Astyanax mexicanus: one gene and its partners. The protein of the gene in region 2 purifies or fractionates together with the protein of the main gene of each other region. This does not show direct contact. Links are inferred from orthologs where the notes say so. Each region holds a gene or a part of one and is shown on either strand. Other genes may lie near its edges.

Region 1 (8,062 bases), on a different chromosome or scaffold from region 2:
CCACTCTTAATTAACTGCTTAATTAACCCCTTACACAGTGAAATGCTGATTTCTACATTCTTTCTGAAGTTTCTCAGAAGAGAGCTCTTTGGATCTGGCAATGGTGATCTACTCACTTTGAGAACAATCAAGAGCAAACCAAACTAATGCCTGAGGTTTAAATAAAACAATCCTCTCTAAACATGTTGGAATCATTTGCAGCTAATGTAATATTACACATTTTAAGGACTAATACATGTAGGGGTGTCATTTTTTTCTCACAAGGCTACTGTATCTATTATCTATTAGTTACATTTTACAATTTATTTTTGAAAGATTTAATCAGTTTAATGTGTTACATTATATACTCTCCATCTCTCAGTATTGGACACCCCTTCTAGTAGATGCATTTAGCTACTCTAAGTTGTGCATATGTGCAAATTCACACACAAACAGCTTGTCTAGTCCCTATCAAGAAATATTGTAAACACAATACAATTCTCCCTTGAACAGATAAATATGAACCTGTTGGCACTATGCATAAAGCCAGACATGTGGACCAGGAGAACTGTGCTCTATGGAATGATAAAGCTCCATCCAATACCTCTTGAAAAGGTTGGGGAGTTGATGGGGAGATGAGGTGTGGTGGTGATCATCCAACATGCTGGCGCTCTTGTGGCTGAATGCAATCAAATTCTTACAGCAGTGCTCCTAAATGTAATTTGAAAACTTCCCTTGACAATAGAGACAGTCACTCCAACCAAAGCAGACTAAAAAAAAATTGATAATAACCAAACTGTGACGGCTGGGCAGCAGAGTAAGAACATCTCCAAAACTCCAAGCAGGTCTGGAATTAAATTTGTGTGGAGATGTCAGCATGTAAGCCTAAGGGTCCGTACTATAGCTTAAAAATTTGTTTCAGGCAGGTTACTGAGTAATGAGTCTAAAAATTAATCACTGACTGTTAAACTTACGGTCTGACGGGTTATGCCCCTCAGCGGGGGCTCATTAAAACAGGTGTACTTTGTCAACGAGAACGAAAAAAGCATTGATTTAGTGCCTCCACTATATATCAACAGCATGAAAATCCTAATCGACCCTTTCGGAATTCAGTAATGATAAACAACGACAGACAGTTTAACATTTCCCAGTCCCGTGTGAGACTGTTTCAAAATCCCAAATCTCAAATTCTTCACAGTTCACACACACTCCCACAGTGTTCTTTCCAAAAAAGAAAATAAAAGAAAAATAAAACACACACTTACACACTCACACCATTGCAGCCATAACTCACTCTCTGAGCGAACAACACACAATCTACACTTGATGCCCCGGTTGAGCACAACACTGGTTGGAGTGCCATTTTCTCATATTTACAAATTAACTCTTTCAAGCCTAAAGGCCTGTTTGTTGACACGTGCTTTAAACAAACTGCATATAAGTTTCATAACAGATTCTAAAAAAATACTAGGTATTGAATAATAAATATGTACAATTTCCATGTAGCTAATTATTAGTAAATATTCAATATTTAGTAGATAATAATTAATGAATACTTATGGGATACCTGGCAGTTGCTGAATAGGTACTATTCACTTACTAATTAGTAGTTACTCAATAATTAGCAAAAACTGACTAATTAGTTCTTGGTAAATAATTAATTTTAGCTACTGAAAAATAAATACTTACTGAATAAGTAGTAGGTGCCAATTAAGAAAGTACTAAATATTTACTCCTTATTCTGTATCTATTACTTGATAAATAGTAGAGACTGACTAATGAGTACTTTCTCAACAATTCTTACTTACTGAAAAACAACTACATTACAAATAATGAATAGGTACTTAATAAGAAGGTACTGAACTTACATCATTTTATATAACTACTATTCAACAATTAGTATATAATGAGTGTTTATTAAATAAATTATTTTTTCTTTGCTAAGTAATTACTTACAACTGAATAACTGGCAGCTACTGAATAAAATGTACTGCATAATTATTACATGTTACATCATTGCTAAGAATTACTACTTATTGGATACTTAGTAGGTATCAAAAAAGAAGGTATTATTATTGCATAACTGCTACTCAATAATTACCTAATTGTTAGTGAATAATTACTAATAAATTATCAACTTGTATGTACTGAATAAAAGTACTGTATAATTATTACTTATTATTACTAAATTATTGAATTATTGAAAGTATTAAAAAAGTAAATGCTGCATAATTAATACTTAATGGAATTATTGGTATTTACTCAATAATTAGTAGGTACTAAATTAGAAGCTGCTAATTAATCAGTACTTACTGATTAGGTAAGTAGGTGTGGTCTTATACGTATGGTATTAAAGCCCAAAAGCAAGATTTCAGTGGATTAAATAAACTTGATGATGCACGTGCACAGTTGCAGTATTTAAATGCAATGCTGAGGATTGCATTTTAACATATTTTAGAGAAGCATATCACAAAACACACACACACACACACAGTGAGAAAACAGCAGTTAATGTGCTGCTGCATCTTCTTACCTTACTAATAGCGATGGCATGCTCGATGAGCGCGAGCGCGCACACGCACCTCATGATATTCCTGTATATCCACATTCTGCCCCCAGATGAGTGATTTTGTGCGTGTGTGAGCTGCAGTCTGCAGTCCGGCGACTCTCACGCTCACACTCTCACGCTGCCATGACAGAAGTGCGCCTATGTGCGCGCACTTGTGAGTGTGCGCGTGTGTACAGTGCGCGATCTGCACCCTGCGGGACCAACAACCCACGCCCATTTGATGTTTCTTCCACAGGACACGCCCACTGCACGATACCTTGCCTCCCCCTCAATACTGTCTTCTGAGGGACCACTTAAGACCTTAGCCTACAAGACACGCCCACCATACACTATTAGGTATGATGCTAATTCCGAGAGCATGCATCATGTGTTTACTTTCCAGTCAGAAAATCCACTGAGTACAAGTACCACTAACAACTACAAGACCACCAAATAACCCCCTCAGATAACATGGCAGTTCAAGTATTCGAGTTTGTGAAAGACGCTCCAGCTCCACTTTCATTTCAGATCTGAAAGCATCCACTAAACAGATGATGGGCTGAGTAGCTCCTAACACTGAGAAAAGCGAACTGCAAACTGCTAAAAATCTCAGAATAATATACAGAAAGGATCTACCATGAAAAAATGCCTGGCCAAAAAAAAAAATGTCGCCACCAAAAAAGGTCACACACTCTAATATTTCATTGGACCACCTTTAGTTTTGATTACAGCAAGCATTCACTGTAGCATTGTTTCGATAAGCTTGTGCAATGTCACAAGATTTATTTCAATCCAGTGTTGCATTTTTTTTTTTCTTGCAGCATTGATAGTAGAGTCTGGTCACTGTGCAAAGCCTTCTCCAGCACATCCCAAAGATTCTCAATGGGGTTAAGGTCGGGACTCTGTGGTGGCCAATCCATGAGTGAAAATGATGATCTCATGCTCCCTGAACCACCCTTTTACAATTCCAGCCTGATGAATCCTGGAATTGTCATCTTGAAATATGGCCATTCCATCAGGGAAGAAAAAATCCATTGATGGAATAACCTGGTTATACAGTATATTCAGGTAGTCAGCTGACCTCATTCTTTCAGCACATACTGTTGCTGAACCTAGACCTGACCAACTGCAACAACCCCAGATCATTTGTTTAGATAAATCCAGGTGGCAACTTTATCTTGGTCAGGCAGTGTATATATCCTTTGCTTAAACACGGGTAAATTAATGAAAAACTCTGGCAAAACATGAGAAGGTTCAAAGAATTACTAACCGTTTTAAAAATTGGATTGATTAAATCTAGATTTTGTGACACTTCATAAATGTAAACTGATAATATCATATTTGCAAAAAGAAAACAGTTTTTTACACATCAAGATCCGACCACATAAAAATGAATCTGAGGTTTCTGCAGGATCTGTACAAGACACAGCCAATATGCATTTTTAGATTCTGTGCTAATGTTTGCTCATTATGGGTGTACATTTCAGTCAAAATGTGCACTAATTACAAATACATGGGGAAATTAATAACACATTAACAAGACATTTAAATAATTTCGAATTAATAAAATAAGTAGTACATATTAATCACATATTATTATTTTTTTACTGTAGGTTCAGTACCACAAATGAACCTGTGCAAAAAAACTTCCTAAAAACTATAGTAAACCAGTGTTAGGAAGCCTTTAGAGGTTCATATATCTGGTTCCTGTGTTTTATACCAAACCGTTTTATATGTATGTATATATTTATAATTATACACAGTACAGTACATTTTCAGTTTAGTAGCATATTCTTGGACAGGACATTTTTCATCTAACGAACAAATTACATTAAAATTCATTTCAATAATTATTTAGTCTGGTCCAAAAAGTTCCATTTTATTTTATTTTTGCTCTTATGGCGCCATCTCTCGGAATCTCCTGAAAATGACACCCCATATAAATAAACAACAGCGTCAAATAAGGACTTTTATTTTATATAAAATATGAACCAAGAACTTTAGCTAAATATTATACTTTTAGAGACCTAGAAATGAGTAAAAATCAAGCTGAGCGTTGAACCTTAAACGATAAACGTGTCTGAACGGTGTAATGTGGACCGCGTAAGCACCGCCTACTTTGTGCAACATCGAATTGTGATTGGTGCAAAAGCCCACACGTGAAAGCGGTAAAGCGTTGGTCCACGTGGTTCCACAGAGAGCAGGAAGATGGTGCGACTTAAGGCGAGGTAAAAAAAACGTTTTTATGAAAACATGTTAGTTATTTCAGGATGTTTTTAGGCTTTAAAATGACTGTAAATTGCCTGGTGTGTGTTTGCAGATATCTGTTATGTGAGGTGTGCATGTCCGAGAGGAGCATGCTGCGGCTGCTGGAGGAGAAGGATATTTTCCAGGCAGTAAAAACAGCAGTGACCACAGCTCATGGCCAGTATGGGTTAGCGTTGTTTAACATAGGTTCTGCAGGTCAGTACTGCATCACCATACTTCTCCAGTTCCTCTTCATCTTTCTTCACTATTTTATTGCGTTTAATAAGTTTTATAATTATGAACACCTACTCAGCTCATTACGAAGAGTGTATTATTTGATTAAATACCTGTACTTGGCACGAGTTTGTATTTAAATGGCTTTTAAAGTTTTAAAAAATCTGGCACTTTAGGTGCATTTTAACGCATATTAAAATATTGACACTATAAGTTAAATATTGTAATATGTAATATGTGTACTATCTCTAACATGTCTAGTTAAAAAGTTTAAGAGAGCGTTACAGAATTTTACATATGTGTCTAAGATAAAATCCTTTATTAATCCCGCGACGGAAATGTACAATGTTACAGCAGCACAGAGGACCAAGCAAAGGAAGTAGCATGAATATACAAGCAATATATATAAAATAAAAATAATAAAATTCATAATAGTAATAACAATAAATAGATTATAAAATATTACTCATTATGCATATTGCACATGTTGGTTGTAAACATACAAACAATGATCCACAATTTAAAAAATTACACAATGTAAGGTAGGACATTGGATGTAGGGTGTGTGTTTGTGCATTTGCACCTTTGTGTCATAAGAAATTGTTTTGTGTAAAAGCACACCTTTAAGCAATACTGAGCTACTGTTATAAATGACCTGTATTTAGGGGTGCCTTTTTTGTGTTCAGAATTTAAAAGCATATTTAACAACATGTATGGATTCTGCTGTTGTCTCATTTCAGTGAGGTACGTAAATGCCTACACTGGGGTGGTCATGCTACGTTTCCGGAAGGCCCACTATCAGCTTCTCTGGTCTGCCCTTCCCTTTATTACAAGTATCTGGAAGCAAGGCCAGAGGGTGCCGTGCTTTTTTAATTGCATTCATGTTGGAGGTAAGTAGTCACCTGTTTCCAGTTGGTTTCACTTTGCACCAAACTATACAAATGGTTTGTTTATTCGTCACAAGTTTGACAAAACTCACAGTATAGATACCTTCAGTTACTTTTGTTTGTCATTGTAAGTGCCAAAAGACCCACCAGTAATAGCAGACCTGTTGATTTAGTATGTCATCTTAAAATATATTTGATCTAAATTATATCTAAATGACTAATTTTAACAAAAAAACTTTGTTAAAAGTATAATTGTAAATTAATATACTACTAAAGCTTAAACACAAAAAGCAATAAAGAAAACATAACAAAATGTCATGATTGAAAATGCTGGTACACTCTTAAAAATAGATGCTATTGAAGAACCAAGGTTCCTCATGGAAACAAATAGGGTTATTCCTGGGCATCAGACAACGAACCCTTTGTATCATATGTTAATGGTTTGATTGCAATCAGATTTTTGTATTGATTTTAATCAAACCATTCTTATTTGCTCTCCAATTCCACAGGTACCATCAGAACATGCCAGAAATTTCTCATTAGATACAGCAGACAGCAGCTATTTCGAATGCTACCACATTGCAAAACAGAAGGTAAAGTTATCTCTTCAATTATTATATTAAGGATTATTCAGATTGCTTTGACAAATCATTTATAAGACTACTATTTGGGTGTTTGGTCATTCTCAGCACTGCAGTGATTGTAGTTGCATGGTGGTAGCGTGTTTGTGTGTGTGTTGTGGTCAGCCGCAGCAGTGTTGCTAGAGTTTTTAAAGACTGTGTTCACACACTGTCCACTGCCCACATGGCACTGCTGGATGACAATTCTCAGTCTAGCAGTGACACAAGATACGCCACCACCATGTCAGTGTCACTCCAGTACTGAGAATGACTTACCACCCAAATAATACTGCAGGGTCCTAACCATTTAAGATTAGGGTGAAAGGGAGGGTAATAAAGTATGCACAAAAATAGATGGACGACAGTCTGTATTTATAGACCTTAAAACTACTCCAATTTGCTTGATTAGTATTTCAGTGAAATGTTGCACAATAAAGTATAACTATCAGTATGACCTGTAACTACTAAAACCACTGAGTTTTAGTTATTAGGCACTTCTGCTTGTTTGTAATGTCTTTGTTTATTAAACGAGGAACAGAATAATGTTGTGGGCATTCTGTGGTAAATTGACACCACTTTTTATGTTAAAAAGTACACAAGTAAAAAAGAGATTTGCTGCAATCGGACAATTTAAGTTGCAAATTGCAATGTTCTATTCATTGCTATGAAATGAGTGCCCCAACTTTCTTTTTTTTAATTATTATTATTATTATTATTTTGCTATTGCTAAATGTAGTTGCAGCAGTTTGTCTATATGAAGCTGCCATTTGCTATTTATTTTCTTTATCAAAATACTGTTAAAAAACTAAACTAAAATAAAGTGTAATGAAAAACAATTAAACAATAAAAACTAAATACAGGAAAAAAATATACAAACTGTTTCATAGTGACCTACATGTTTCTATATTTTTATATGGTTTAAAAGCTCAGTTATTCTGTCAGTGGATCTGGTTGTTCCAGTTTTATAGGCCAATTTTATAATTAAATTAATATGTAATTTTTTTTAACGTTAATTTTCTCCAACATCCGAGTTACAGCACAAATACAGATATATACTCTATGTACTAATAAAAAAGAAAAATTAAAAGTTTTTTTATATCTATCTGTCCTTTGATGCAGCTGAAAAACAGCAGGTGAGAAAAGCAGTTTTGAGTTGTTCTCTAAACCAACTCAGACAAGACGATGATGACGACGACAATGATGACTATGATGACGACAATGATGATGATGATGGAAAATGAACTGAAGAAAAGACCCAGCTACCATAGTTGCCATTCAACTTTCTGTTCAAAAGAGAAGGATTATTTGAGTTTATTGCATTACAAAATAAATTTTATATATAATTCAGCATCAGGTCTGATGTGTGTTATAGTATGATTGTATGAGCAGTCCAGATTTAGTGTAGATTTTAAAGTCGTCTTGTCCTTTGAGCTTAAACCAGCCGGGTACAATACTTTATGATTGCTTAATAATTTCAAAGTTGAGGTTTTGGAAATTTTGTGCTAGTGTGTTCTGTGTAGCTCATATGGCAAAAGAAAATGATAATG
Region 2 (8,287 bases):
GCATTTCCCGTCGTGTCCAGAGTTTTAAAAATGATACGCAGCGGCGCTCCTGGCCTGCGGACGCAGCGTAGAAGCCGTGAAGCAGTGGCGTTTCTGGCCTGCGAACGTGGCGGAGAAGCCGCCAAGCAGCGGCGCTCCTGGCCTGCAGGCGCAGCAGAGAAGCCGTGGTGTGCTTGGCACACAAAATTGGGGCCGGGGGTCCATGGAAAGTTTGTGGTGGATTAGAGGGGGCTGTGAGTTTTTTTGCTTTAATCCGTTTTTAATCTGTGTTTTTAAAAACGAATATTCGCTACCAATCAGTGCTGAATATTCTGAGCTATTCAGGCCAGTCCTAGTAAATTAATGATAACAGTGATATCTCAAACTACAGTTCAGTGATAATAAATATGTCGCAAAACTATTCTCCACACTTCACAGCGACTATGCTACTGAGAAAAAAAACTTCTAACTAAGTAAATAGCAGGTGTCAGTTTCACACAATTTAAATACTAATGTTCTTCACCACATGTTTACCCTGTTCATTTGATTGAGCAGTAACTGTAGTATGTCAAATTTGGGGTTGAGTTGAGAGCATTTATACATACATATACTCAAAATTATTGATTTGCTTTTTGTCACACTTCAGACTTGTGTTTGGTAATGGCAAAAGGGAAAAGAAATTCAAGCAAAAGTTTTATAATTCAAAAGGTATCACCTATCTGTAGACTTTGCTTGCTATCCAACTTGATTCTATCAATAATGGAACTGTGACACAAAAGGTCACTGGACAAATAACTTTCAATCATTTTTTTACTTAAAATGTAAAAACTGAACATAAAGCTTTTTGTTTGATGCTGTTTTGCTCGAGTGGAGATTTTGCCTCGAGTGTAGAAAGAGGTGGTTTTGGGGGCGGAGTCAGGATCACCTCCCTCAGCGAATGCTATTGGCTGATATCTCCAGGCTTTGTTACTGTCTGCCTACTACCGGCAGCCTTCAGAAACAAACACAGCAGGAGAGTTAAGAGAGCTATGCTGAAACCCAAACTTTGTATTTATCTAAATAATAATACTAATAATCCGAGTTACACATACAATATATATTATTAGGCTAAGCCGATCCTGGCACTGTTAACACAGCATCAGCGTCCTCCAATCTATGGGGCTGTTAGCCCGGATTCAGGGCCTGAAATGAGCCGATCTCCAGGGCTTGTATCGCGGCTTCAGTGCCTGAACCAAGTCGATCTCCGGGGCTTGTGGAAAAGAGGCTTCAGTACCTGGAACGAGCTGATCTCCGGGGCTTGTATTGTGGCTTCAGTGCCTGAAACGAGCTTGTGTAGCTAGCGGACTCTACAGCGCCCCCTAATTTGATTGGTAAAGAAATCAGCTGTGGTTGTGTAAAAAATGTTCTAATCTTCCCAATTTTTGGTAGAAATGTAGACACTAAGACCCTGCACAAATTTGTTTGTATTAGATCCGCCCAACAGGAAATTTGTTTAAACATTTTTCAAGAACTCATTTAAACTACTCCTAAAGTCTTCATCAGATAATGATGAAAATGCTTGAATTGCCACAGTCAATAAGACCTCAACATTACTTTCACCGGTTTCTCGGTTTGGCCCGGTACGATTTGCGCTGTTGTGTGAGGGCCCTTTATCCCTTCGTGACAGGGGGGCCCCTCAATACTATTATTATTTAGATAAATCCAAAGCTTAGCTTTTAGCATAGCTAGCTAACTCTCCTGCTGTCTATGTTTTTAAAAAAGTGGCAAAACTATGTTGCATCTGGGGGCAAAAAGAGCCGGCTCTTCGTGAGCAAACTCCTCTTGGATTACGAGAAAGAACCGGAATTTGCGTGAGCAAAGCCTTTTTTATTTTACGCTCTATATTTTTTTAAGCGAACTTATTTAGTCAGATAGTTATTTTTTTATAAAGTAAATGCAGTTACAATTTCTAGCATTGTAAGCACTTGCTCAAAAGTTCCAGCACTTTCCAGGCCTGGAAAACAGAACGTTAAAATTCAAGCACCCATACAAACCCTGAATATTTTTATAATGGAAGCCCAATGTCTGTTCTGAATAATGAAAAGTTCGTTTCACTGTAAAATAGTGTAATAGTATTATTATGCTAGTATATAATTACTGTGGCACATTGTCTTAAAGCACCTTTAGGAGCCCAAAGCAGGAAAAAGCATTTTCTATAGTGGCGCTTTAAAAGGACAATATTATCGTTTATCGCAATCATTTCTGAGACAATACATTGCCCTAAAAATGTTGTTATCGTGACAGGCCTAGATCAACGATATGTTATCTAAAAAATATTACAAGTAATTTTGGAGCATTTCTATTGGTCTCCTCATCATATGACATTGGCATTCAATACATTGGTTTCTGCTTTCTTTAATTCAAGTCTGTATTTTCAGTACATCTTAACCTAACTGACGTACAGTATTACCAAACTAAGGACAAGCTTATATTTCCTGATACTGTGAATTCCTCCCCTGTACCTTTTTTCATGTTTCTCTGGTCATAGGGCATCGCCATATCTTGACCTGGATGCAAAAAAAAAAGTTTAAGTTAAAAAAAGATGTTTTATTTATTAGTTATATGTTTTAAAGTAATATTCCAACTTCTTATTTAACTTCAAATGATATATCAGGCTTTTTTAACAATTTCTTTTTTCACATTATTCTGGACTTTCAAAATATCATGAACATATAAATATTTCATGTGTGAAAAGGTAAAAAAAAAAAAAATGGGGCACACAGTCAATGGGCTATGCCTGTGAGGAAAGAACTCCAGTATTTTACTTAGTTCCACTTTGGCTGTACATATACTTCCTTTTTTAATATGTTTGATTTTATTGTGTTGTATTGTTTTAGCACCTGGACTGCTTTAGAGATAAAAAAAAATCTAAAGTAATATTTTATTTTTATTGTAATGTATTGTAATTTGCAGTGGTAGACAGTAGCAGAGTAAAATATATATACTTTACTGTTTTTCATATCTGCAATTTTTACTTTTTACTTTAACTCACAACATTTCAAACTCAAATATTTAGATTTTTACTCCAATACATTATGGAGAAAAAAAAAAGTTTTACTTGCATCCAATGTTTTGTGATATTTTATGGTCACTTTAAAAGTACATCACAATAAAATAAGTCTAATTAATGAGTCTTTCTAAAAAGATTAATAATGTCAACCAAGGGTATTACTGGAGTCTTTTAATATAAAATGACCTGATTCTGATCCAAAAGCGATAAAAGCACATTAAAGCCATTAAATCCGGGTACTTTTACTAATAGTGCTTTTGTGATATTTTATGATAATTTTAACAGCAATCACTGCAATTAGACTAATAAATAAAATCCTATGAAAAGATTAAAAATTGTGAAACAAGTGTATGGCTGGAGTCTTTCTATCTAAAATGAGTTGATTAATCAGATTGAGGGTTCAGTTCTAAAAAAAGAATTTATAAGATATTGGAGCCATAATAAATCATGGTGTTTAGTGCTTTTGTAAGCACATTTTAAGGAAAATAACATGTGTGTACTTTTACTTTAATGTAGGCATAGAGAGGTCTTTTCCTTTTACTAGAGTAACGTCTGCAGTACTTTAGCAGTTGTTTGAACATATAGCTAGCTTTCTACTTCTGTTTGAGTCATTTCTGGGCCAAAACAACTCTTTGATTTTGATGTGGTTTAGCTGGTTTAATCTGCTGTGTCTTCCTCGGACTGACCCTGAAAGCTCAGCACTGCTCATCTAGTTAATACCCTGTAAAAAAAAACAGCATTTACAGCAGAATATCAGCAAATAAACCACCAGAACAAAGCACGTACCTTCGGAGGAACCCCTCTGACTTTCAGTTCGACCATTAAAGTGTGTGAAACCGGTGGAAGCGGGTGTTTTTGGCGTAGTTTACAGCAGCGCTGAACGAAAAGTGAAAGAAAGAAGAGTTGAGGAGGAAGTGAAGTCGAGATGTGGAGGCTCCCGCTGATCCCAGCCTTCAGGCCTCAGAGTCCAGGCTAAGATAACTTAGCACAGCTAGCCTAGCCCGGGTCAGCTAGTTAACTAATCAGCGTCGTACATAAAAACAGTGGGAAAAAATACTAATGCACCAGATGATTTATAGAATAAGTCAACAAAAACAAAATTGTACAGTTCACCTGGGTTCCAGCACCCACGGGTATTTAGGGGAATGAGGAAGCAGATGAGTTTGCAAAAGAAGCACTGAAATCAGAGCAAGTAGAAGTTAAAGGTTTTACTGAGCAAATCAGAATTAAAAAAAGTAATAAAAGACGGTGTTCATAAAATCTGGCAAAACAAATGGGATACGGAGGAGAACAGCAGGAATTTATATAGTATACAACAAGAGGTAAAAGGAAAATCCATTCACTCACGACAGGAGGAAACCTGATCAACCAGCCTAAGAATAGGGCTTACAGCACTAAATAGTGGTTTACACATTAAAGGAAAACATGACACCGGAATATGTTCATACTGTAATGAAACTGAAACCGTAATTTACGTACTGCTTACATGTAGGCAGTACTCTAACGGAGAGAACGTCTTGAGACGGTAACAAAGAACTCAATTGAAAAAACTTATTAGGTCAAGGTGGTACAGAGCATACTGTATATATTTTTGTAATCCCAATGTAATCAAACATCAGACCAGTAGATGGCGGTAATGCACTAAGATTGCAAGCTGCCAAAAATCAACCACGAAGAAGAAATCCGCTCTTGAAAACATTAGAAGCTACAGGAGTCACATGGCGATAAGGACGTGCTGCGTGAGACTGTCTTTAGTCGGTAAATAGCTGTATTTAGTATTGTAATATTCGTACATTTAAAAGTGCACTACGGTTAGTTTTGAATGAGTCTCTTCAGTGGAGTTTCCAAAGGATGTAAGTTTTACTGGATAGCAACATTAGCCTAGCTAACTAACTTAGATATGTTCTTACTTAACCTACACCTGTTATATAGTTAGCTGTTAGTTATCTAGCTAGCCAGATATAACTCAATTACTCTAGCTATCTGTTTCAAGTCATAATAACCTATCGAATGTATATACTGATGATAGATAGGGGTTGGGTTTGTTGGTTTAATTTGGAGAACTGGCCCTGTCCGTTATTAGATGCACTTGATTGCGTCTACATATGGTTTATTATTAGAGGTGGCTAACCCGGATCCAGAAAGTAAAAATCCATCCCTGGGTTTCATACTTTTTAAACTTTTAAACTTTTACTTTCTGGACCCGGGTTTACCACCTTTACTTTTTATAATGCAGTGTTTGAGTCAGTGGACTTAAAGTCTCTCTAATTGATGCTCTGTTCAAATATTTGTAATATTGTATATGGTAAGCATTTAATAAAAGTGTACAAATCATAACAGAAAATACGTTAAGATTCTGAGTATATGCTGAGTAGGGCTGTGCAAAAATCAGAATTTCAGAATTCAATTTAATTCAGTGAATGATTAAATGAATGAATGAATGAATGAATGAATCTACCTACCCACCCATCCATTTCTCAGTGCCTCATTTTAAATATCCGTGCTCTCAGAATTCTACCAGTGAAGTGTGGAGCTACTTTGAGCTTCTTAAGAGTGTAAAATTAACTATTTCTTTACATGGGCAGCACTAAGCCCTTATAACTAGCATTGTAAGCCTGTAGAAAGCATACATTCTCTTAATGTTGAATACTTTCAAAATTAAGATATTGCTAAATTAGTCACATACAACAATGTTACAATTTATTAAAGTAATTTAAAGGGTAATGCTATTGCATCTTATGGTCAACAGTTCCTCAAATAGCCTTAATGTTTGGACAATGGTTAAAGACAATGGTTAAAAAAAGGAAAAAAACAATATTCTGGGAAATTAAGTGCTGTCCTATCATTTTCCACAGTTTGAAAGTTGGTACAGTTTTAATAATTTGTGTTATAGAGGGTTTTTATTGTTTTGTGCTCATACCATAATATCTGTGTGAAATTAATATACACCTTAATTTTGCATTATACATTAATTTGAATTTCGTGTAATTCTAATTCTACATCCTGCAGTTCGAATTTGAAGTAGCTGGTTCCTGTTTGCAATCTCAATTCCAATTGAATAATTTAATTTGAATTTGGGTGTCATTCTTCATTTTATTTTTTAATATTGTACAACCCTGGTGTTGAGTTAACATGTTGTGGGACAAAAAAAAAAAATAATCTTAAATGTCTTTATGCCATTTTTCATTTTTATTATTGATTAAGCAAATACACAATTTATACGTAGTATAGGTGTGCAATAAGACAATAAGTTTTGACTACTGCCATTGCTTAAATTCAGAACAACTGCAACTGTTAAATTACAAAGAGAGTAATTAGTCCTGTATTTAATTGACTTAGAGTACAGCAGATTTAAATAAATTCAGAATATTGTGTATTGTGAACAAATGTCTTTCCGTATTAGGAAATATATTTTTTTTGTTTTGTTTTTTTCAACCATTTTTTACCATATCGTCATATTTTACCATTCAGAATTCAGTTTTAACACAAAATTATTTTTCGCTCTCAATGTTTGTTTCCTGTTCTAACAGCATTCAGATATTATGGAGAAGAAACCTACACCTTATGAGCGTGTTGTGTGCAAAAACACCTCTCTGTATCATTATATGAAGATCAACTTGTAAGTAAACTCCTTTCTAAAAAAAAAAAGAAAAAAAAAATATATATATATATACTATGAATAATAGACAGCCCTATTTTTTTTGTATGCATAAACAGAGTTTTTGACAGTAGAAACAAAAGTCTGAGTGCAGAACAGTTCAAGCAGTTGATCATCACTGGACTGAAAGACCTGTATGGGGAGGTAGGGATAAAATACTGACCTATGTTATGAGACCTCCACATTATAATTAAGTTAGTGTCGGAGTTGTGTAGATTGTGGTTGTGTAGAAATATGTTGTAATGTGTTACAGGTTGGAGCTGCGTTCCCTTTTGACGTGCTGACGTTCAACCAGACTGAGCTGTCTGCCATTCTTCGTGTGTACCACAGGTATTTAATCCATGCAAAAGCTTAGTTTTGCTTTTAATAAACACTTATTTACCAATTTGTCATTCGTTCTTTATTACAGCGCACCACGTTGACTTTATCTCCCCTCAAACATAAAAGTATATTCTAGTAATTTAATTGACACCACTAAAATAAATATAATTGCATTACAAAAACTTGCATTTTAAGAAAACAAGTGTGATTAATCACAGTTAATTACAGAATAGTGTTGTGATTAATCATGTTAAATTTTTAATAAATTGACACCACTAGTCAAAACGCTTAAAATTATAAAGGTGTCTGAGTGCTGGGGAGCATAGTGCAGAACAGTGTTCACACAGAGATTCACTATTAGAGCTGTAAAGAGTTACCGACTCATACTGACACATGGATGGTTATGGGTTTAAGGCAATGTGTCATAAAGGCTAGTGTAAGTGTACCATCAATTTTTTTACCATATATAGTAGAAATAATGCATGTTCTCAAACCTGAACAGACTGTTATGACTTTGAGTCAGTTTCCAATAAACAGATTAATCCTAGGTTTTGACTGTAGTATCAGTGGTGATTAGGCATTGAAAAGCCTATTAAGTGTAGGATTAAGCTCTGAATCTGGGTCCCGATCCCAAAGTTAAATGGACCACATTTTTTGGTTGTTTTCTAGTGCAACCCTGGTCCTAGAGATGTATCTCTGTCTCTCTCTCTCTTAAAACCCCTAACACAGTTAAGGCAATGAATTTGTGAATTACAGTATAATTAATAAGTATAATTAAGTATGTTTCTAAATGTTGTGATTGTCTTTCTTTTTTATTCTCATTTTAATAGCAGTTTGGTGAAACTGTGGAGTGCAATTACCTTGATTGGATCGTATGAAAGTGTATCGTGTGCATTTAGAGTTACTCAGGTAAGTTTTCTATTATTGAACATAATACATTTGTTCTTACCTAGAAAAAATAAAGATGAATAAAATAATCATGTGTTATCAACAATTGTTCCTGATTATTTGTTGAGATTAATTAATAATACATTTCTTAAATAAAAATAATATTTTTTTTGAAACCATTAAAACCGTCAAACCATTAAATCATAAAAAATATATTTTTTCATAAGCATTGCAGTGCACTTGCTCATCAGCAGAGAGCGCTACTGAGTGTTTTCTCTAATCATGCAGCTGCCAGACATGACTTGACACTTTTTTCTTTTTTCATGCTGACATATTGTAAACAACTGTGAAGGTCTGCTTAATGACCCGACGGCATAGTGAAATTTGGGTTA
Region 3 (8,214 bases), on a different chromosome or scaffold from region 2:
TTTGTCTATAAAACAACACCAGCCAAGTACATTCGAGATAGGTAGGTGTGTGTTTAAAACAGTTCTGTTTACAGTGGTTAAATTAAAAATCCCCCCCAGGATTTTACTGCGGCTCAGCCAACTCCTCCCTCCACTCCTCCACTGGACTAAAGTAGCATTATACAGAATCACTGGAGCACTTTTTATTCACAAAAAACAGCTCACATGGCATTCATTCATACTAGAGACCACAGCTTTTTTTAAAGAGACCACAGCACATCTTAAAATTACTGAGGAAAAAAAAAAAACGATAAAATGAGACCTTTAAGGGTTCTATAAAAAAAAAAAACATGACATTTAAATTTGCTCGTTTAAGCAGCTTTCACCTAGCTTTTTCGGTGCAGACCTTCTGACTTTTCAGTTTGTTCCAGTGTGAACACTTTTTTTAGATGGTTTGGAAGATACTGTATCTACCATCAGAAAGAGACTAAGAGACTATAGATATTGTCACCCATTAAACAATAGAAGAAGAAGAAGAACCAGTCTTGCCTAGGTCCTGTATGGGCAGCAGGTTAATCTGGTGATTCCTGTACGTGCTAGAACTGTAGACTAAACCTTGATTATAAACAGAAATAAAGGTATCATTCTGCTGCATGACACACACATCCATTGGTAGGAGGCAGAATTCAGCACAACGCCTGGAACACCTGTGTTCGGCCAGCAGGGGGCACCCTCCACTAGTGTTTTTTTGTCTGGATTTTTAAAAATATCTTTGTCCACACAGAAATGCAATACCACTCAAAAATTCTGATTTTCCAGCCCAGTTCCTCCTACAAAATAACATCAAAACACATGTTGAAGAAGGAAACCATCAGGTTTTCTGCTGAATAACAGGAGGATTCATATTTTTGCGGCTCCACTGTGTTCTGTAATTTGATTGTATCATGTGATAGTATAGTAATATATCTGATTTAAGGCTGTGTTTGAACAGCCAGATCTGAATTCATGTGACTTTTATGGCAGTGCGCCTTATGTATGAATTTTATCAGTCAGGTTGTAAGGAGCAGTAACACCACTCTGCTGAAGTACAGGAGTTTCAGTTTAGTTCTCCACCACCGAGACTGGAGCAGCATTAGCATTAGCCGTTAACCGCTTACTCTTTTGCCAATTAGTGGTGAGTGTATCAGATTGTAGACTGAAAGTTCCAAAAATAGTGTGCCTTATAATACAATGTGCCTTACTGTGTGAAGAATATGGTAGGTGGTTAAAAACGAGATAACAGACCTCATAAGTATTTGGATTATTGTGTGTCTTCTAATAATATTAGAAGGCTTGTGTTGCAGAAATGTGTTCTTTTTACAGAGTTGAAGCGCATTGATAAACTCAGCTGCAGCCTGAACTCATTCATAGCTCTTGAGATTCTGACAAGTATGGTGAAGTGAGATTTCACAGTTTAGGGTTGCTTTGATACAGGAGGGTCTGTAAAGCTCTCCACCTATACTGCTATGTGACAGGCGTTACAAGTGAAGGTTTCTCAGATTATGGCACAGCACTGGTTCTGTTTTTTTTTCTTTTTCTGTTGTTAAATTGACAATAGTGTGCCTTAACTTCTTGTAATTGGTCCAAGAGTCAAACTATCTACACCAATGTTTTACACTGTAATTGAACCAAACCAGGGTTCAGTGTATCCAGACCAAGACACCTTTTTAAATCCTCTGGAACAGGCTGTGGTTTGTGGCAGTTTTCACTATTACTACTATTTTAGCTCAGACCAAACACCTGAAAAGTCTGAAGGTCTGGACCAAACAAAGTAGATGTTAAAAAATTGCAAAAATGATGAAAACTGAGGACACACACACACTTTTTGCACATTACTGCATGTATGCACTTATGGTACTTACCGCTGGGCAAAACAGCAACAACATTGTCCTCATCAATTCTGGTTTTGGAAGACAGTGCATAGAAACCTCCTGAAGGATAAACAAACAGTGAATAAAGGACTCCATCACACCACAAGCACTGAATTGAGCCGCTTATTCTCAACTCCTCCACTCTCTCGAATTCCTCCTCACTCCTACCTTTCTTCACTGCATCCAGCCATTTCTCTTCCAGGAATGTAGAAACTGGAAAGTCTTGGACATGGAAATATGAGCTGAAATTACTAAGTACTTTCTCCAGCATCACAGGCAGTCTTCCACACTCAGGTATCAATAAGGAAATCTGCATGAAAAAAACTATATATTATATTTATCATTATATACATTACATATATAAACACCCCTTATTTTTACAGTTTACATTCACATTTAACAGCTACAAGAGAATGGCCTAAAATAATTCAGGGAACTCATGTATTTAAACAGTGAACTGACAAGCTGAATCAACACAATTCCTATAGAGCTTAAAAGCTATTTAAATCTGCATTTTATATTTTAATATGAAGTTTATCTGACTTTTGATAAACTTGAGTTATTGTAAAGCATATTTAGAAGGGAGATCCCTTTTTAATTTTAAGATGCTATATTTAGGCTATGTCCACCCTGACATGAAACAAATTTGAACTAATATGTATTTGGCTGTTCTTTTAGCATCCAGTTAAAAAAACAACTGACAACAAACTGGTTACAGCAAGAAGGACCAACTTTAGATGACTGGATCTAAGCTGGGGACATTAATATAAACTATAATGTTAAAGATAACTTTCTTAGTAAATATAAGTTTGGATGCATTAAAAAATAACACTGGAGTAAATAGACAAAAAAATAAGACGAGATGATAGAAGATGAAAAATAGAATACGAGTTAGCCCAAATCTATAACCTATATCCAAAATACATTTGGAGATATTTTACGGATATCAAATATACGAGATATTTTCAAAGGTATTTTTAAACTTTTACAATACAAGTTCTAAGCCCATAAAAACATTGTTAAAATGTAAATTTAGAATGTATGCCACTCAATATTTCAAGTTTATTAATTTTAATTAATTTATTGTCTGGTAAATTTTACTCTGATATACAGACTACAGACTGTAATAACTCCACACACACCAGCCTCACTTCCACTGCAGTCTCTCTTTCTTTCTGATTTAGTAGTAATAATGTACTGTTTATAACCGAGGCTCTCCGCTCCACCTTAAACTGTGCTGAGAAGCGCTGTAGCTGCAGCTGTTTTTAAGGTGGAACAGTATCTTACCCTGCAGTTAAAGCTGTGTTTCAGCGCCTGGGATTCATGGCGGGATTTCTCATTTTTGAAGTTTCCTTTTTCACACACTAACAGACTCCGCGGGCACTGCTCCAGCTCCGGGCTCATCTTACTCTATTTAATTGTGTTATTATTAAAAACTAATTTATAATAAAGCAGGGGGGAGACACACTGACAGTACAGCACTGCTCACCATGCCGGCTGAACCGTGTTTTTGACCCGCTCGCGCCCCTGCCGCCCCCTACTGACCCGGAGAGCACGTGCGTCTCCTTGTATACAACTAACTCTGTATACTTATAACCATCTCAATAATAAGTGAAAAACACATCATATACAAGCAACATCGCAAGCACCTCAAAACAAAAACACAAACAAACAAACCTAAACAAACAAAAAAAAACAGAGAAAAGAAAATTGTGATTTCCTACTTTTTAATTTAATAAAATGAGTCAGTAAGTGTAAATAAATTTTAGGTCTGAATAGACAAAAATCTGGAATTATGGTATTTTTAAAGCAAATTTATTTTTGTGAATATCAAATTTACCTAAAATTATAATTAAATTTACTATACATTTTTCCTTGCGCTCAAACGAAGGCTCATCAAAAATATACAATATATATTGGTCTTTGAGGGGAATTTCCTTACCCAACTTCCTCTTCAAGTCTTAAAAAAGATCGACCCAAAAAAAGGAAGAAAAAACACAATATGTGTTATAACCATCCCAATACTGCTGATATATTCATCAGTTCAGCTGTATATCTGTGTTTAACTGAAGTGACACGGTTGTAAACAAATATCTGCCATTAATCTTAAATAAATGATTAAATGATATTACTTTCTAATTAAATATATTATTAGTTAATTATATTTAATTAATGTATAGTGCATAGTAATGTATATTATATTTCTATTTCTTCATAATTGGATTGCTGATTGCAATGTGTTTTTTATTGCATTTATTAGGTCTATTTTTAACGTTTAGAAAAATTATATATTTGGATGGGCTACACTGCTGTAGGCTGAATAGGTAAAACTATTGGGTGGGGCTGAAGTGGCTGTAGGCTGAATGGGCGGGGCTAAACAGACTGTAGGCTAGAGGTCTGCGCGGGACTGTTTTTTTAAACCCGCTCCCGCCCGCTCCCGCGTCTTTTTGTCCCGCTCCCGCCCGCTCCCGCAAAAAAATCACTTCTTTTAATCCCGCTCCCGCCCGCCACATACACATTCCCGCCGCTCCCGTCCCGCAGTCCTAATATGAATTGAATTAATTACATTTAGTGCTTCAAATTTACATATGTATTTATTAAAACAGCAATTCAGTTCGCAGTCCAAACACATGCCATCAGGTGCATCAAGAATCCTAGAAGTGGATTAGAAGTGGATCTATATTATATAAAATAATAAATGTAAAAATATAAAAAATTAAATTCAATTAGTTTAATTAATATTTGTATTATTATTATTAATAATAATAATAATAATAACAATAATAATAATAACAATGTTTTTGTTATTGTTATTATTATTATTGTTATTATTATTATTATTATTATTATTATTTTGCACCAGTATAGTAAATGTCGTCCTTTAAATTACACACCCCCCTCCCCCCCCCCCCCCCTCCTCTGCACACGCCTGCTGGAGATGCTGAAAATGTGTGTGTGTGTGTCCATCCTCCGAGAGATTTTTCTTGTGTTTTTTTGTTGCTTGCATGGGAATCATAGCGTGATTATTATAATTTTCTTAACTATTTATCAATTTGCGGGAGCGGGACCACATGTTAATGTGGTCCCGCTCCCGCATGGCCTGTATTGATTAAATTACCGCTCCCGCCAATAACAATTCAGTTTTGTCCCGCGCCGCAACATATTCTGACGGGTCCCGCGGGTCCCGCGGGACTCCCGCGGGAGTGCAGACCTCTACTGTAGGCTGAAAGGGTGGGCTTTATTTGTGAGAGAGCTGTGAGACACAGACGGATAGCGGGACAGGCGGCGATAAATACTCCCAGGTGCTGACCCTAACAGCTGAAGCTAAAAATAGAAAGAGCAGAGATAGAGACACAGCGCTTCGTGCTGGTCACCACGCTTAACCCTTCCCAAATGTCAGTCTTATGCAAAAGCTTGGACACCTTACAGAGTTTAGTGCTTAGCACTTAGTAAGGCTCCATTTCGTCTGAAATAACAGCTTTTTTGGGTCATGTTGCAGTTCCAAATGCTTGGACCAAGAGGTCCATGGTGGATTTAAGGTCTGCTTTAGCCCTTTAACAGAGAACACATTTACAGGTACATCCATAGTTTGCTGGTGCTGTATATTTTTAAACACATTCTGCTCTTCACCAATGAAATACCAATTGATAATGCATCTGCCAACAACACAACAATAGCATGATGTGCTTAAAAGTTTGGAAAATTTCCCGTATTTCTGCATGAATTTGACCTAAATCATCTTGGAATGGCGAGAGTATATAAACCATTGTTTTCAGTATCTAAAAACTGAAAACAACTAAAGTTTTTTTTTGTAAGTGTTGTAGGAATTGTAGCCCATTGGTGTGTTTTCTCACATGACCAGCTACTTCAGCTCCTTCCAGGAAATTTATATTGGATTAAGGTCAATATAGTTTAATTAACCATTCTTTGGTAAAACAACTTGCATGATTAGGGTCATTGTCTTGCTGCATGACCCACGTTCTCTCAAGATTTAGCTCAAAGACAAATGTCTAGATATTATCCCTCAGAATGTGCTGATATAATTCAGAAACCATTGTTCTATCGTGATTGCAAGCCATCCAGCAGGCCCAGATATAGCAAAAAAGGACCAATCCATGAATCTATCACCACCATGTTTCACAGATAGGATAAAGATGTTACTTTCTTCAAACATAACACTAAATTTTGGTCTTATCCCTTCACAAAACATTGTTCCAAAAGGCCTTTATCAGTGACTGAAAATGCCCACAGATATGTAACATTAGATCGTTCTTTATTAACAGATGAAGAATGATAACAAATAGATCATTCATTAAAAAAAAGTCTTATATTTTTCATTTCATTTCATTTTTTACATATATCATTGTCTACTTTTAGGAAAAGTATGCAGAAATATTGATTCAGAAAACTTACAAGCACCTCTATTATTTTTTAGAAAAGTCCACACTTTAGAAACATCAAGATTTAACACTAGGCTGTATTCTTAAATCATATTTATTTAAGTGTTAGTACTACTCAATTAAAATAACATACAGAGGATCATTGCATTAGATTACATGTGTGAGTGTAAATGTGAGGGCATGGGGGGGGGTGGGACTACACCATGGGGATGGATCTTTTTCTGTCATGTTGAAATGTGGGAGGGGTGTTGGTCTCAAGGCTGTAAGTTGGAGCAACTGGGCAGTTCAGCAAATACCAGGAGATACTGTACATGCTTACAGTCAGACCACAAAAACGAGGGAATCATGACTTGTTAATGGCAGAATATTTATTGGATGAAGGGGAAAACTACAGTATAAATACAGTAGCACACTACAGGAGCACACTTGCTGTTGGAACTAAAGAATCCAGACCCTCTGGAAGAGCTGAGCTGAATATGGAGATCTACTAAAGGTTAATAGAGAACCGGCCCCAGAGAGGAATGATGTGGAAGAACACTGATTAGGACAGATTGAGTTGGGACTCTGGAGGGAATCCGTTGAGTTGAGCCGATCAGCTGGAGTTGGTTCACATTTGCACAAATGTTCCTGAACACTTTCCTCGTGGTTGTGACTGACCTTGCGGCAGGACTGCTGGGAAATGCCTTATTCCGGCGGCATTTTCACCTGCTGCTGTCGGCCATGGTGGTCTTTGGACCCCTGCTGAACTTTTGGGTTTCCCAGTACAGTGTTTTCGCCAAGAGGAGTCATTTTCTTTATAGGTAAGTAACACACACTTTATAACCCATACCTGAGCTTTACCTTTACCTTTACATCTCAACTCTAAAAGCACATGCTCCGACTCTCCAACTCTCACTCTAACTGCCTAACACATCAGATTAATACCGGATACTGAACACCTCGTACCGCATTCTGAACACCTTATACCTGAGCTCACCTTCACCTTCACCTCTAACAGCACACACTCTAACTCTCCAACTCTCACTCTAATTCACATCAGTTTCATACCGGATACTTAACACCTTTTACCTGAGCTTTACCTTCACCTCAACTTTAACAGCACACTCTCTAACTCTCAAACTTTCACTCTAACTACCTTACACATCAGTTTCATACTGGATACTAAACACCTCATACCGGATACTGAACACCTCGTACCTAAGCTCACCTTCAACTCAACTCTTAACAGCACACACTACAACTCTCCAACTCCTACTCTAACTCTAACACATAAGTTTCATACCGGATACTGAACACCTCATAGCAGATACTGAACACTTCATACCTGAGCTCACCTTCACCTTAACTCTAACAGCACACTAACTCTCCAACCTTCACTCTAATTGCCTTACACATCAGTTTCATACTGGATATTCAACAACTCATATCGTATACTAAATAACTTGTACCGAATACTAAACACCTCATACCTGGGCTCACCTTCACTTCAACTCTAACGGCATACAGTTTTACTGCCTTACACATCAGTTTCATACCGGATACTAAACACTTCATACCTGAGCTCACCTTCACCTCATCTCTAACAGTGCACACTCCAACTCTCACTGTAACTGGCTAACCCAGTTTCATACCGGATACTGAACAACTCTTGCTGGATACTGAGCAACTTTTACCTTAGCTCACCTTTACCTCAAATCTAACTTGCACACACTCCACACTCTCCAACTCTCACTCTAACTAGATAAATTTTAGATGATAAATTTTAGATGAGCTAAAAAAACTCATGCCTGCAACTAAATAATTCATGCTAAACAGCTCATACCTGATACTAAACAAGCCATACTGGATACTGAATAATTCATAGTAGACACTGAATTGCTCATAGCTAAAACTGTTCTTCAGTTGTTAAACCGGGGTGATTGGGT

What was found. The genes of interacting proteins can lie anywhere in the genome.
Region 1: the proteins of rpp14 (region 2) and pop5 purify together in Homo sapiens (co-immunoprecipitation; 3 studies listed by BioGRID and IntAct, with this or other methods). This does not show direct contact. The link is inferred for Astyanax mexicanus from reciprocal best matches to the Homo sapiens genes RPP14 and POP5.
Region 3: the proteins of rpp14 (region 2) and rpp40 purify together in Homo sapiens (co-immunoprecipitation; 3 studies listed by BioGRID and IntAct, with this or other methods). This does not show direct contact. The link is inferred for Astyanax mexicanus from reciprocal best matches to the Homo sapiens genes RPP14 and RPP40.

What each region holds. Positions count from the first base shown.
Region 1 is NC_064419.1:30,521,666-30,529,727, reverse strand, and holds pop5 (ribonuclease P/MRP protein subunit POP5), read left to right. Parts: upstream 1-4,647; 5' UTR 4,648-4,735; coding exon 4,736-4,755; intron 4,756-4,847; coding exon 4,848-4,990; intron 4,991-5,748; coding exon 5,749-5,898; intron 5,899-6,404; coding exon 6,405-6,488; intron 6,489-7,634; coding exon 7,635-7,756; 3' UTR 7,757-7,863; downstream 7,864-8,062. Other genes in the region: olfml2a (olfactomedin-like protein 2A), read right to left, coding at 2,513-2,587. UniProt on the Homo sapiens protein: Component of ribonuclease P, a protein complex that generates mature tRNA molecules by cleaving their 5'-ends. Also a component of the MRP ribonuclease complex, which cleaves pre-rRNA sequences.
Region 2 is NC_064431.1:12,208,328-12,216,614, forward strand, and holds the start of rpp14 (ribonuclease P protein subunit p14), read left to right. Parts: upstream 1-4,682; 5' UTR 4,683-4,786; exon of another isoform or gene 4,787-4,881; intron 4,882-6,558; 5' UTR 6,559-6,570; coding exon 6,571-6,647; intron 6,648-6,745; coding exon 6,746-6,830; intron 6,831-6,939; coding exon 6,940-7,016; intron 7,017-7,837; coding exon 7,838-7,916; intron 7,917-8,287. Other genes in the region: rbck1 (ranBP-type and C3HC4-type zinc finger-containing protein 1), read right to left, coding at 2,481-2,517. UniProt on the Homo sapiens protein: Component of ribonuclease P, a ribonucleoprotein complex that generates mature tRNA molecules by cleaving their 5'-ends.
Region 3 is NC_064411.1:30,817,517-30,825,730, reverse strand, and holds the start of rpp40 (ribonuclease P protein subunit p40), read right to left. Parts: upstream 3,416-8,214; 5' UTR 3,294-3,415; coding exon 3,177-3,293; intron 2,200-3,176; coding exon 2,058-2,199; intron 1,950-2,057; coding exon 1,881-1,949; intron 1-1,880. Other genes in the region: fitm1l (fat storage-inducing transmembrane protein 1), read left to right, coding at 6,911-7,089. UniProt on the Homo sapiens protein: Component of ribonuclease P, a ribonucleoprotein complex that generates mature tRNA molecules by cleaving their 5'-ends. Also a component of the MRP ribonuclease complex, which cleaves pre-rRNA sequences.